Linked DNA regions of Elephas maximus indicus. The protein of the gene in region 2 interacts with the protein of the main gene of each other region in a pairwise test. Links are inferred from orthologs where the notes say so. Each region holds a gene or a part of one and is shown on either strand. Other genes may lie near its edges.

Region 1 (7,998 bases), on a different chromosome or scaffold from region 2:
AAGCCTCCAGTTGCAATTTTGAAGGATTCTATGTGCAAAATATTGAAGGATACAGGAAGAAGATGGAAGGAATAACAAGTCATTGTACCAAAAAGAATTGGTTGACATTCAACCATTTCAGGAAGTAGCTTATGATCAAGAGCTGACGGCATCGAAGGAAGAAGTCCAAGCTGCTCGGAAGGAATTGGTGAAAAACAAGGCTCCAGGAATTGACAGAAGACCAAATGAAATCTTTCAACAAATGGATGCAGCGCTGGAGGTGCTTACACGTCTATGCCAAGAAATTTGCAAGATAGTTACCTAGCCAGCCGACTGGAAGAGATACATATTTGTGCACATTCCAAAGAAAGGTGATCCAACAGGATGCATAAATTATCGAATAATATCATCAATATCACACACAAGTAAAATTTTGCGAAGACAATTCAAAAATGGTTGCCACGGTACATTGACAGGGAACTGCCAGAAATTCAAGCAGGATTCAGAAGAGGATGCGGAATGAAGGCTATCATTGCTGATGTCAGATGGGTATTAGCTGAAAGCAGAGAATAACAGGAAGATGTTTACTTGTGTTTTGCTGCCTATGCAAAGGCATTCAACTGTGTGGATCATTACAAATTATGGATAACATTGAGAAGAATGGGAATCCCAGAACACTTAATTGTGCTCATGAGGAACCTGTATGTAGATCAAGAGGCAGTTGTTTGAACAGAAGAAGATACTGTGTGGTTTAAAATCAGGGAAGGTGTGGGTCAGGGTTGTATCCTTTCAGTATACTTATTCAAACTGTATGCTAAACAAATAATCTGAGAAGCTGGGCTATAGGAAGAACATGGCATCACGGTTGGAGGAAGGCTCATTAACAACCTGTGTTATGCAGATGCCACAACCTTGCTTGCTGAAAGCGAAGAGGGCTTGAAGCACTTACTGATGAAGATCAAAGACAACTATCTTCAGTATGGATTACACCTCAACATAAAGAAAACAAAAATCTTCACAACTGGACTGGTGAGCAACATCATGATAAATGAAGAAAAGGTTGAAATTGTGAAGGGTTTAATTTTACTTGGATCCACAATAAATGCCCATGGAAGCAGCAGTCAAGAAATCAAACTACCTATTGCACTGGGAAAATCTGCTGCAAAGACCTCTTTAAAGTGTTGAAAAGCAAAATGTCACTTCGAGGACTAAGCTGTGGCAGACCCAAGCTGTGATATTTTCAGTCCCCTCACATGCATGCAAAAGCTGAACAGTGGATAAAGAAGCCTGAAGAAAAGCTGATGCCTTTGAGCTTTGGTGTTGACGAAGAATATTGAGCATACCATGCGCTGCTAGAAGAACAAACAAATCTGTCTTAGAAGAAGTACAGCCAAAATGCTCCTTAGAAGCTAGGATGGCAAGATTTGTCTCATGTACTTCGGACGTGTTATCAGGAAGGACATCATGCTTGGTAAAGCAGAAGGTCAGCAAAAAAGAGGAAGATCTTCAACGAGGTAGAGAGTCATAGCGGCCGCAACAACAGGCTCAAACACGGCAATGATTGTGAGGGTGGTGCAGCACCGGGCCGTGTTTTGTTCTCTTGTAAATAGGGTGGTGATGAATTTGAACCAACTCGGCAGCACCATACAGCAGCAGCGCACATCTTGCCTACATTTAGATGCCCATCACTTAAGGACTTTCGGTCACTAGATCCTATTTCATTCTGGTTTCTTCAAGTCCTAGTGCTTAGTTACTTGATAATAGGATAATAGTTTGTTGATTGTTGTTAAGCCCTGATTCATGGAGACACCATGTGTTACAGAGTAGAACTGTTCCACAGGACTTTCTTAGCTATAATCTTTATGGAAGCAGTTTATTAGGCATTTCTTTTCCACAGTGATAATAAGGGTGGCATGGAAATTCATGTGACTTTGTTAATTCACGTATATTTGAAAGGTCAAAAACACATAAAAGACCTCCACATAATTAAAAAAATTTTTTCTAACTTGTTTTTTTTTTCTGCTTGTGCCAATTAGTTAAAATAACATCAGGGGAAGAGGCAGATCAAGAGAATTAAATAGCGTCTGCAAATAAAGAATGATTATCGTTGGGATATGAGCCACAGCACAAGGGCAAATGAATTTTTAGTGTTAAAGTGAATGCTTTACCCTTTGCTGTGGTCTAATTTTGCAGCGTTTAACTTTTAGCTCTGACCATTATTTGTTAGACACTAACACCTGGGCATCCCCCCTCCACACCAAAATAACCCTTTGGTTCTATTAATAGCTAAGAGGATTTACAGACTTAAATGGTGCTTTCCACAAGACACACACTACATTGAGCAGTAAAATTGCCACTCTTTGGGGTCATCATCTGTCTAATGGTAGAAAGTCATGCTGTCTTAGGAATTACTTGGAATTTAGAAAAAAAAAAAAATCCTCTTAACTCCTTAATGTTCTTATGTTCTTGTATCAGTCTATTGACTTTGTTCTCTAGCAGTCTTTATAAAAAGCAGTATACATTTTTTCATTCATTACTACATAGGATAAAATCTTTACATCAGAGAAAAATATCCAAGGGTTAATATCAATAGCCACCCAATCTATGGCTAGGTTTTCTGCTTTGAAAAACAGCATCTCCCAAAACAAAAAAGCAACGAGTAACGGCTTGCCTTGATAAACGCACGCTGCTGAGGTTGAAGAAAACTGGACGTATCAGGTAATTGTCATCACGAATATAGTTTTCCCCTGGTGGTAAACCTTCAGTAAAATCAAGTGAGCAATGGCACTCAAGCTTGTTTATGATTTTATGTTCTTTCTGGATAAATCCTCCTCCTTGTCAAGAAAGAATCATGGATTGTAAAGAGGTCATCTTACCTTGAAGTGATGCACAGCTTTGGTGTCCTCTTCGTGTTCTGGGGTTCGGTGGATGGTTGCATTATATCCTTCAGCCCTAAACAAGGGCAAAAACTTCCACGTAGATGACCTGGAACAGTGTTTCTGAAGGCCCTCTTGGTTGTCTTGGAAAAGGCTGGGCATGTTTTAATAAAAACAACAGGGCAGAATTCCCTTTCTTTCTCTTCCTTTGGCTAACGCTAAGGCATTTCTCAGTCTGCTGGCAGCCTTCTTGGAAATTTGCAGTAGTCAAAGCAAAAGGATTATCTATTTATGGATCAGTAGCTTAACCACAGATCTTTAGTCCTCATTGCTGGTGCAGAACCTCTTACTTTGAATGTCTGGGTTTACCATGACTGCCCCCTAAAGGCGGGAATGCATTCATAATTCAAACCTGCTGAAGTAACTGATTCTAGTGATATACAGCTGAGGGTATAACGATAAAGACAGACAGAGATTGCTTGACAAAATTCTGTATTAGTAATGTGTGTGAGGAAATTGTACTTGACAATCTTGGGCTATGCAATTGATAGGCAGATGCTCAGCCTAATTTTTTAGGTTTCCTAAAAGATCATTTTAATAGCAGCCAATTTTGCAGCTAGAAACTAATCTTAAATTCATATTCTAAACTTAAGCCCAAGCATTGTTACGCCTTTTACTTAAAAAAAAAAAAAAAAATTTTTTTTTTTTTTTTTTTACTTACATCATGTAAAATTAGTCAAGGTGATTTTCTTATGTGGTAACTAGTCACCTAATGATGAAACCAAGAATTAGCTTCTAATACCATACTTTATATTTGTAAAGTGTTTTATAAATATAAACTCGTTGCCGTTGAGTCAATTCCGACTCATAGCGACCCTACAGGGCAGAGTAGAACTGCCCTATAGAGTTTCCAAGGAGCGCCTGGTAGATCTGAACTGCTGACCTTTTGGTTAGCAGCTGTAGCTCTTAACCACTATTCCACCAGGGTTTCCTTTATAAATATGAGAATATTAAATGGAGTGAAAAAAGCACAGCACATAACACATTTCTCTACGATGTGACTAATGGCCAAGTAACTCTGTGGGGTTTAAGGTGCACAAAGGTAAGGGCTCCACCTGTTGATTACTGGGGACTGTGAGCTGAAGAAATTTTTCTTTTATGGAAGTGCCTGGGACTCCCGAATTAATGTACAGATTTATAGCAATTAATATGAAAATCCTAGCTGCCTTTTTACAGAAATGGACAAACTGATCATAACATTATTATGGAATTGCAAGGTACCCAGAAAAGCCAAAAAAACAAAATAAAACAACCCTGGAAAAAGAAGAACAAAGTTGGAGGGTTCACACTTTTCCAATTTCAAAAGGTACTATAAAATCACAGTAATCAAAAGAGCACGGTACTGCTGTAAGGATAGTTGTTAAGATAAACTACTGTTTGGTTTTAAAAAGACTTCAGGGGATAGTTTTGGTTTAAGGTTTAAAAATTATCTCAGGGCAAGAATTTTGGTGGTTCATCCAGCCGCCATGGCTCTAGAAAGTCTGGATTTCATGAGAATTTGAAATTATGTTCTGCATTTTCACCCTTTTGATCAAGACTCTTCTGTAGAGTCTTTGGTCAAAATATATGGCAAATTGCTTTTTTTTTAATTTGTGCTTTAGATAAAAGTTTACATAGCAGATTAGTTTCTCATTCAAAAGTTTATACACAAATCATTTCATGACATTGGTTGCAATCCCCACAATGGGTCAGCGCTCTCCTCTTTTCCACTCCAGGTTCCCCGTTTCCATTCGTTCAGTTTTCCTGTCCCTTTCCGCCTTCTCATCTTTGTTTTTGGGCCAGCGTTACCCCTTTTGGTCTCTTGTATTTCATTGATCTAAAAAGCATGTTCCTCGCATGTGCTGTTGTTTGTCTTACAGGCCTGTCTAATCTTCGTTGGAAAAATGAACTTTGGGCTTAGCTTCAGCTCGGAGTTAGAAGGGTGTCTGGGACCATAGGCCGAGGGCTTCCTTCAGTCTCTATCAGATCGGTAAGTCTATTTTGTCTCTGTGTGTGTGAATTTGAATTTCGGTCTACATTTTTCTCCCACTCTGTCCAGGACCCTCTGTTGTTATCCCTGTCAGAGTGGTCTGTGTGGTAGCTGGAAACTAGTTCTTCAGGGCTCAGACTGGTGGGGGCTGTTGTAATTGTGGTCTATTAGTTCTTTGGACTAATATTTTCCTTGTGTCTTTGGTTTTCTTCATTTTCCTTTGCTCCAGATAGGATGGGACCAATAGATGTATCTTAGATGGCCACTTGCAAGCTTTTAAGACCCCGGACACTACTCAACAAAGTAGGATGCAGAACATTTTCTTTATGGACTATGTTATGGCAATTGACTTACATGTTACCTGAGACCATGGTCCTCAGCCCTCAGCACCAGTAAGTTGGCTCCTCAAGATGTTTGGTTGTGTCTGGGAGGCTTTTATGACTGTGCCACCTTTGGGCTTTACTATATATATGAATATCTTATGTATCCGCTTGTAAATTTTCATTTGTTTTTACTGTTGTTGTACAGTTGTATATGCTATGGTATTAGCTGTGGTTGTTTTTTTTTTTTTTTTTCCTTGTGTTCTTCTAAGTGTCTTTCTTTGGCAAATTGATTTTTGACAAAGTGCCAAGTCCATTCAATGGGGAAAGAAGCCTTTTCAACAAATGGTGCGGGGACAACTAGATTTCCACATGCAGAAGAAGGAATGTGGATCAAGCTAGTGTTCATGGTAGTGAGAGCATGGCTAGAAACAAAGAAGGAGAAAATGTGGGAAACTGGAAAAAACTGAATCCTTAGGCCCCTCCCAAGCACTTCTGGTCCATTTCCTATAAAGAGCTGCCTATCGTGCTGACAGATGAGAGCTCTGTCTCCCCGACATTAGGCCACTGTTATGCATTACCCCAGGTAAAAGGGCATTTTCTAAACAGTCAGTGGAGTTTACAGAGTTCAGAGGCTTGTATCTAAGACATGTAAGCATCCGAGCAGAAGAGATTAGCGGGCTATTAATCTAGAAAATCTCTGACTTCTTTACTAGCTCAAGAGATGGATAGAAAACAAATGGATTTGAATAGAAAGCAGATGGAGTGAAGTGCTAATGGAGTTGAACTATCAGAAAAACTCTAAAACTGGCAAATCATAACCAAAGTTCTTCCCTTAGGCGAAGGAGGCTAAAGATGTTCAAAACTAGAGAGGGAAATCCTCCCAGATGCTCATCTCAGATGCCGTTACTGGACTTGTCAGGACAGGGAGACCTCTGAGATGGTGCAGTTAGTCCTAGTTCAGACTTGTGGATCAAGGAACTTGTTCTACTGACGAAAGAGGCAGAGTTGGCTGTGTACCATGGACCCAAACTGTTCTCCTCCATCATTGTGTGCTGAGAGTGCTGGTGGTAGATTTAGCACTGCACCATGAGTTGGCAGCCATAAAGACCCACACGTGGACTAGACCACGAGGATTGCAAATCACTAAATGACCCTTGACTTTGAGCCAGACACAATACGGGAAAAGACTTCAGGTTGTCTTCCCTGGAATAAGATGAATACATTTTTAATTTCATGTAGGATATGTTAAGTGGGAACATTTTTGAAAGGTTGTATATGAAAAAAAAGAGAAGTGTGTGTGTCAATACTGAGTTGTCTAGAGGTGAAATGTAGTGGATGTCTTTTTTTTTTTCCTCATCCACCATTCACGTCCTCTTCTTTTTTATGATAACAGCATCCTAGTTTTCTTTGGGGTCATGTGTCTATTCCCTTCTCAGTCCCTGTTACTTAGATAGGGCTGACCCTGTACCTGGAAACCCTGGTGGCATACTGGTTAAGTGCTATGGCTGCTAACCAAAAGGTTAGGAGTTTGAATCTACCAGGTGCTCCTTGGAAACTTCGTAGGGCAGTTCTAATCTGTCCTATAAGGCCACTATGAGTCGGAATTGACTCGACGGCAACGGGTTTGGTTTCTTTTTTTTTTTTGAACCTTGTATCCAGCTCCAGGTCAGTGAACACAACACACACATGGGCTGTCGGTAAATTCCATCCTTCTGCCTACAGTGACTGCTCAATGCCAAGCGTGTAACCAGCCCAATGGAGTCAGTCCTAGGACTTTTGATAATCTGTTAGAAAAGAAGTGCTTGTTTAGGTCTGCTAAATTGGTAGCCTATAAGTGTGGTGTTCTTGGTGTGTATATCTTTACCCGTACTTGGATAAAGGATGCCAAGAATAAACCCAGCTCACTGAGAACCAGAAGTTAGATGCAGAAAGAAAGTGCCTGACATCACTTGAGCAATTCACCATCTTTGATGGTCAAGACCTAGATTTTTCATTTACGTGATCAATGTTATTATTATTTACTGTTGGGTTGTCTCTGACTCATGGCAACCTAGTGTACTACAGAATGAAACTTTGCCCAGGCCTGTGCCATCTTCACAGTTGTGGGTATGCTCAAGTCCATTGTTGTGGCCCCTATGTATTTCGAGTGACTTCCAACCTAGGAGGATCATCTTCTAGCACTATACTAAACAATATTCTGCTGTAAGCCCTGGTGTTTTCATTGGCTAATTTTCAGAAATTGATCTCCAGGTCTTTCTTTATAATCTATCTTACTCTGGAAGCTCCACGAAATCTGTCTACCACAGAAGACCTCACTGGTATTTGAAAACCTGTGGCATAGCTTCCAGCATCACTGCAACACGCAAGCCACCACAGTATGAGAAACTGAAAGATGGGTGGTGGACATGATCAATAACCTCACTAAAATAAAAAAGTATTACTTTAAGAATATTATTTCTATTTGCTTAAGCTAGCTTAATCTGTTTTCTTTCACTTGCAACATATACAAAAGGCATGTTATGGTGCCTGGAACATAATAAACTACTGGTAAGTGCTAAATATTGTTATTATTTTAGTGATGGTGACTGTATTAGTTATCTGTTGTTGCATAACAAATACCCCCAAAACTTAGTGCTTTAAAGCAATGTTGTTATCTCACAGTGTCTGTGGATCAGGAATCCGGGCTCAGTTCAGCTGTGTCCTCCAGCCCAGGGTCTCCAACCAGCTGCAAACAAGGTGTCTGCCAGGGCCGCATCATCTGAAGGCTCACCAGGGTAAGGGTCACCAGGTT
Region 2 (7,197 bases):
TTTCTTCTTTTTAGTCTAACTTGGTAAATAAAATTCTAGTCACAATTTATCTTCTTTTTCAATTTTAGTACGTTTATTAAGGGGCATGTTTAAAGTCTTCTTTAGACAGCATCAACAATAACAAAAGAAAGCCAGAATATGGCTACAGCTTCTGAGAAATGTTTTTTGTTTTGAAGGGAATAGATTTGGTTTCAGCGTAGAGGTTCTAGCCACAGATTTGAATGGGCAATAGAAACAGGATGGGGCAGAGAGAAGGGCCAAACTGAAGCTTTTCAAAGTGGAGAAATAAAGTGCCTACAGAAACCTCCCACTCCAGCAAAGAGGAACGTGGAGTTTCTTTAACAAGCTACCAGTCTCCAGGTCAATAACTAAGTTACCAGCAATTCATTTATTTGTACACGTTTGTTTAAAACATCTACATTCCAGCCCCTCCCCCACAACCCCCCCTCCCCACACACACATTTTCAGAGTGGTTGATTCCTCTCCCAGCTGTTGATGGGTTCAGGCAAACAGACCTAAAAACAAAAATACGACAAAACAATGGTTACTAGCTAGAAAGCGCACTGCAGAAAGTGTTCTTTTCAATCCTCTGGTTCTGTCATTCTAGTATTCTTTTTTTTCAGGGTCAGAAAAATCAATATTTCATTCTTCAACCTGTTTACATTGCAAATAATGGATCATTAAAGCTTTGAAGCCAGGTTAGCAAGTCGAGATTTAAAACGGAGTGTGTTTCTGCACTCTAGGTTATGAATTAACCCAATTTCTAGAGAACGAAAAAATAAGCACTTTAAATGGTACATCAATAAAATATGATCTAGGGTGTGTTATTGGGCTGCTCTTTTTTTTTTTCTTCCCCTTTCTTACATGTTCCCATGTTTATTTTTTCCTTTCTGAGCTCTGTTCTGCAGGCTACTTACTTACCGTGAGAAAATGTAGCGTGTAAGCAACATGTGTGGTGCCGGTTGATTTACCAACCCGGCTTTTAAATGCAAAGGCTTGGAAGTTACAATGAAATCGCGATTTTTCTCCAACCATTTGCTCCCCACTTTCCCCCCGCCCCTTTACCCCCTAAATTCCGGCAGCGGCGGGGTTGTGTGGAGATTGCGCCGGGTTTCCGGGCCCCAGACGCGGCGCGGAGCAGGGCGGCTCAGCCCCGGCCAGGGCTGCGCGGCGGCTGGATGCGATTCGTCCTATGCTCATAAATCAACCGCTTTCTATGAATGAGAATGTCATCAAAGAGATCAATTGCAGGAACACATGCACAAATAAAAATCCTCTTACGTATTTGCCGGGGATCCCCGTCCGAAAGCATTAAGTTAGAAGGCGTTTAGTCATAATTCATTTTTATTGCTCTTTTAAAACAACAGCTTGGCTGAGCCGCGGATGCCCTGAACAGCTCCGGGCCTCGGCGGCGTTTTGTTTCCTCCTCGCTCCTTCCCTGTATAGTAGAAGAGCCCTGAAAGAGGTGCTTTGAGCCCAGGGAACCTACTGTGGGAGATTATTTTAATCGTGACCAAGCTCGCCTTTCACCCACTCCTCCCGGGCGTTTCAAAGACATTAGCTCGAGGCTGGGCGCTGGCCTGCGAGCCCAGAGGGCCAAGCGTTTCCAATCCTGTAGACCGGGTCCCAGAATTTCTTGGAGGGGGTGGGGAGGTAGGGAAGGAACCGAGCTACGGAAGCCTACGGGCTTGAGGCCAGGGGAGGCTGCCTTTGGGAGCCGCCCGGGGAGAGCGGCGCTCCCGGCGGCCGGCAGAGGAGGAGCCCGCTCGGCTTAGAGAGCCCGGCCTACCGGAGCTGAGCGCAGAGAAGGGATGGTCACCGGCCCGTGTGTCTGCAGGCCTGTGTGCGAGTGTACGCTTCTGACCCTAAGGAAAGGAAGAAAAACAAACCCACCCAGGCTGTCCCCGAAAAGAAGCTAGGAGAGAAGAAGAGAGGTGGAGAGAGAGGAGCACGGAGGCCTGGTTGCTAGAAAAGGAGGATGCGTGACTGTGGCCGAGGGCGGCTTTGTAACTGGCACCATGCGACGGAGGGGTTCGCGAACGCTCGGCCGGAGGAGGCCAACGGAAGTATAGAAATGAGGCCGGGGGGAGAACGTACTGAGGAGCTTAGGCCTGAAGAGCAGATCGCCCGCACAGCCAGCACAGATCCTCCCTCCCCCTTCCCCAAGGGGCGCCTTCTCTCGCCATTCCCCTGAAGGCCTGGCGCTCTGAAGGAAGCCGCTTCCAGGAGGGTCGCCCTGCCTACTCCCTTCTACTGGAGGAGGTTCCCCAAGAGCTGCATCTGGAGCGAGTTCCCCGGGAGCTGAATCTTACCTTTCCTGCCTGTGCCCCCTCTTAACTACACATGGGAAAGGGTCAAAGATCACTGAGAAATACCATTTCAAAAGGAAGTGTTTGGGGGAAAAACGTCTCTTTGCTACGAGGAGTTCAGAGCCAAAGGTCTGCATGGGTTTTCCTTCTTGGGGAGGCAGGTTTTTTTGCGGGGGGGGGGCGGAGTCTCTATATTTGAAGAACAGAACACAGAAGCCTGAAAAGGTGACTAACACCTTTGAAATGTACCTACCTCAACCAAACTTAGTTCTTTTAAACTGGGGGAGGGGAAGCAAGAGGAGAGTGGGAAACGCAAACCCACATGTAATCCTCACAAAAAAATTCATCTGTCGGATTTGATGTTGTAAACATAGAGTAAAATCTATAGGGCATTGGTTGCAAAACTTCTTGCATGGTCTCTAGATTTCTTCTACCTAAGAATGCATCAGTTCTCGGCCTCGGTTTGGCCTTTTCTCTCCACTAGCCCAGGGGTGTCGCCAAACCTAATAGTAAACACCAATTAACGACCCCATCAGCATCAGAGTAGGACGAGGGTGATGGAGAACAGGACCCCTGGCCCGAGATGACGCTCAGATTTGCACGCGTCTCTCTAGGGAAAGACTAGATGGCTAATACAAGCAGCTACGCAGTCAGTTGGAAAGGGGAGGAGATGGTGCTGGGGAAGAGGCAAGTGTCCAGTCCACCATCAGCCATCTGTCTACCGCCTCTCCCACCTGCCAGCCCCCACCCCTGACGTGCAGTAGAATGTAGGGGGCGGGTAAAGGAGGCTCTCCCACTCCTAATATTTTCCTTCCAAAAAAGAGGAAGGTGGCGGGTGGGGGGGGGGATGTTTTCTTGGAGCTGTGGTTCTCCCGCCCTTTGAGGCTCCCGCCCGGGCACGCAGACTCCTGGGTCCTGGGGAGCCCGCAGATGGCCTGCAGCGCGCGGCCCGACCACCACGCTGGCTACGTCCGCTAGCGTCATCTCTTTCCCCCGCCTCCTACGCCTCAAAATCTAGTGGCAGAGTTGCTGGGTTTCCCGGAGGGCTCCCGGAGCAAAGCTGAGTGGGGAGGAGAAAGGGGCGGAGAGCGAGGAGAGAGAAAGGGCGGAGAAGAGCCCCGCCACCCTAGGCCTTTTCCTGCAAACTCGGCAGCAAGCGCTCACCCGCCCCTGGGCGTCGAATTACCGAAGCTCCTCATTGCCATGCTAATGGCGAGGGTGTGGGGCCGGAAGGCCGCTACGGCGACCGGGGAAGGGGGAGTTTCTTTTCTTGCCCCCATCCCCTCCACGCTCACCCCGGGTTCCTCCCAATCAGCTCTCTGCTCACTTCCCTCTCTGCTTGGAGCTTGGAGATCCGATGGCCCAGTTTCGCCTCCGCCATCGTTCTCAGCGCTCCTCCCGGCCCCAAGGTCCCACAGCAGGGACAGTACAGTGAAAACGCTAGGAGATCCTGGGGCGCGGCTCCGGCCCAGTGCCTACCCTTCCGGCTCCGAGCGCTTCGCTCTGGGCCCGCGTACCTGCGGCCGCCCGGCGAGTTCCAGCCCACTGATTCCCGACCCGAGAGAGCGGGAGCCCTTTCGCCTTCTCACCTCTTGCCAGTTCATCTTCCTGTGCACGACGGGGAGGGGCACGGAGCGGGGAATGCCCCCCAGCCCCCACCTCCAGGACGGGGGGCGAGCGGAGTTGGGCGTGCGCTGAAGACAGCCGCCCCCCTTAGCCCCAGCGCTCCGAATCCGCTGTTTGCAGACACCGCAGCTGCTGCCGCCGCCTGGGCTGCCTGGGGGGGCGATTGCGCGTCACCTAGGCGGAGGAGCGCCGGGGATTTAAATGCCACTGAAACGGTGATCCATCACTGCTGGAGCCTGCAAAATTTCGCAGGAGGCTCAGCCATTGGCTGACATAGTCACGTGCCCCTCCCCTTGCTCCCTCGGCCCTCCCGCCGCCCCCCCTCCCGCTCACTGTACATTCATATCATTTTTCTTCTCTGGCCCCATGGAGGAAGTGAGAAAGTTGGCACGATCACCCAGGGCGTCGCAGGATCCAGTCACTCAGTGACAGATGGACAATGCAAGAATGAGCTCCTTCCTGGAATACCCCATCCTCAGCGGTGGTGATTCGGGGACCTGCTCAGGGCGAGCCTACCCCTCGGACCATGGGATTACAACTTTCCAGTCGTGCGCGGTCAGTGCCAACAGCTGCGGCGGCGACGACCGCTTCCTAGTAGGCCGGGGGGTGCAGATCAGCCCACCCCACCACCACCACCACCACCACCACCCCCAGCCGGCCACCTACCAGACTTCTGGGAACCTGGGGGTGTCCTACTCCCACTCGAGTTGTAGTACAAGCTACGGCGCACAGAACTTTGGCGCGCCTTACAGCCCCTACGCATTAAATCAGGAAGCAGACGTAAGTGGTGGGTACCCCCCGTGCGCTCCCGCTGTTTACTCTGGAAATCTTTCATCTCCCATGGTCCAGCATCATCACCACCACCAGGGTTATGCTGGGGGCGCAGTGGGCTCGCCTCAGTACATTCACCATTCATATGGACAGGAGCACCAGAGCCTGGCCTTGGCCACGTATAATAACTCCTTGTCCCCTCTCCACGCCAGCCACCAAGAAGCCTGTCGCTCCCCTGCGTCGGAGACATCTTCTCCAGCGCAGACCTTTGACTGGATGAAAGTCAAAAGAAACCCTCCCAAAACAGGTCAGTCCTAGTCTACTGCCAGCCGATGGATGCTCCTTGATGATACTACAAGGGGTTGGTATGCTTAATTCTCAAGGAAAGTTAATAACGGTCTTAAAAAAAAAAAAAAAGTTCTTGCTTAACACCGGTGTTGTGGGGCAGGAGATTGCCCAGGTGTGTTGGGGCACGGAAGCTTCTGGGACGGATGCGTTTTCAAAGGGACTGAGTTTGAGAGGTTCTGGAAGTAGCAAGTGAATGAGTGTGGGTTCTGTTAATATCTCAGGTTCCATTAATCACGGGGTCTGACCAAACTGATGGTTGACTTCAGGTTAACGCCTCACATCTCATCACTCACCCTCCCCAGCCCGTTTTGTGCCCACAAGTTCTTCATCTCTCCTTTACCTGAATGTTGCTCTGAAGCGTGTAGGGGATAAATGTCCCTCATGTCGATTTAATTTTCTTACCTTTTTCTCTCGTCGCATTCCATCCTGACCCCAGGGAAAGTTGGGGAGTACGGCTACGTGGGTCAACCTAATGCGGTCCGTACCAATTTCACGACGAAACAACTCACGGAGCTGGAGAAGGAGTTCCACTTCAACAAGTACCTGACGCGAGCTCGCAGGGTGGAGATCGCCGCGTCCTTGCAGCTCAACGAGACCCAAGTGAAGATCTGGTTCCAGAACCGCCGAATGAAGCAGAAGAAACGGGAGAAGGAGGGCCTCTTACCCATCTCTCCGGCCACCCCGCCGGGAAGCGATGAGAAAGCCGAGGAATCCTCAGAGAAGTCCAGCTCCTCACCCTGCGTTCCTTCCCCGGGGTCTTCTACCTCAGACACTCTGACTACCTCCCACTGAGGGCACCCCAGCCCCAGACTCTGTAGTCCAGGTTTCTCCTTGGGCTGGGACTTCTAACCCAAAGCACATTCTTAGCTTACCTTCCTTTCCAGTTCCAGTCTCTCTCTTCCTTTCTGGTCCTATATGGGGAGCTTCTGGCCAGGTTAATGTGTTTCTAGAGCATTCTAGACCAGAGACTTTGTGGGGGGTTAACTTCTTAATCCAGATCGGGTGCCAGCATCAATTTTCTGATGGCCCTTAACAGTTCTACCCACTTTTCTATTTTTACAGAACCTACTGTTCTTTTGGATCCCCTTTGGAAAATAGTTCCCTTTGCCAGCAGAAACATGTCAGAGGACAGCCTCTCATCTTTTACTTATCTGTATATTTAGTCCTCCCCTACCCTGATCTTAAAGGTAGGCTATATATATATATACACACACACACACACAGAGTCTAGGAGCTCATGAAGAAGAGATGCACTATGAGCATGTTTACACAATTCATCCCTTAATTTAATTCAATTTCATGTGTGTGAGTTTGCTGGTTGTAAATACTTTGTCCTGAGAGATTTATCTTTATACAAATTTTCTAGAAATGTTTGGATTAAGTGACTATAACAGGGTGGGCAAACTCAAAGCTGGTACAATTTTATATGTGGTTATAGGTAAAAGAATACATTCTCATTTAAACCCAATCAGATGCTTCAGAGAGTAGCCTCAATTCATTTTCAGTGAGTTAAGAAGGTCTGCCTACAGAGCACAAGGTTCAGAAACCTGGCTTCCTGTGCTGTCTCCCCATCCCTTCCCCTTCTTGTTTCACTGGCCGCCCCCCTCCACTTAAAATTTGTGCTGGATTATTCTGAACCTAAAGGTATTCAAACCAGCTTCTTCCTTTCGCAGTTATCTTAGCTGGATATGATGTATTTTCAGCTTAGTTGTTAACGTGATGGATGGCTCAATGAATGTATATTTTGTGTGATTCGTGAATCGTCTTTTGCATGTCACACAATGTTTTGATTTCCCTGAAGTACCACACTGAGTTCTGTCAGTTTTTTGTGAGCCTGTGGTACTCCCCATTTCCTGTACAATCATGAACAGCTCTGAGATTCTGAAGTGATGTGATCAGAGCAGAGTTACGGGTCTTAAGATGTCTGTAATAAATATATTGAAGTTTCAGGTATGCTTAAGCATCAGTGTATTTGCCTGGGCTATAATTTGTTAATTCCTACAAACTGGATTCATTTCATGTAGTGAGAGAGAGAAGGGTGGTATGTTTTTTCCAAGAAGTTGTCCTTTTCTTGAATAAAAATGAATGCTTCCCACTATCATGTAGCTGAAGCTTCTCCCATGAGTGTAATTTCACAAGATTC

What was found.
Region 1: the proteins of HOXA1 (region 2) and RGS20 interact in binary tests that used the Homo sapiens proteins (3 or more experiments, as listed by UniProt). The two-hybrid records come from large-scale screens. The link is inferred for Elephas maximus indicus from reciprocal best matches to the Homo sapiens genes HOXA1 and RGS20.

The regions. Positions count from the first base shown.
Region 1 is NC_064833.1:86,221,005-86,229,002, forward strand, and holds the start of RGS20 (regulator of G-protein signaling 20), read right to left. Parts: upstream 3,018-7,998; coding exon 2,869-3,017; intron 1,006-2,868; coding exon 987-1,005; intron 1-986. UniProt on the Homo sapiens protein: Inhibits signal transduction by increasing the GTPase activity of G protein alpha subunits thereby driving them into their inactive GDP-bound form.
Region 2 is NC_064826.1:88,263,920-88,271,116, reverse strand, and holds HOXA1 (homeobox protein Hox-A1), read left to right. Parts: upstream 1-4,306; 5' UTR 4,307-4,367; coding exon 4,368-5,013; intron 5,014-5,490; coding exon 5,491-5,846; 3' UTR 5,847-6,683; downstream 6,684-7,197. UniProt on the Homo sapiens protein: Sequence-specific transcription factor. Regulates multiple developmental processes including brainstem, inner and outer ear, abducens nerve and cardiovascular development and morphogenesis as well as cognition and behavior.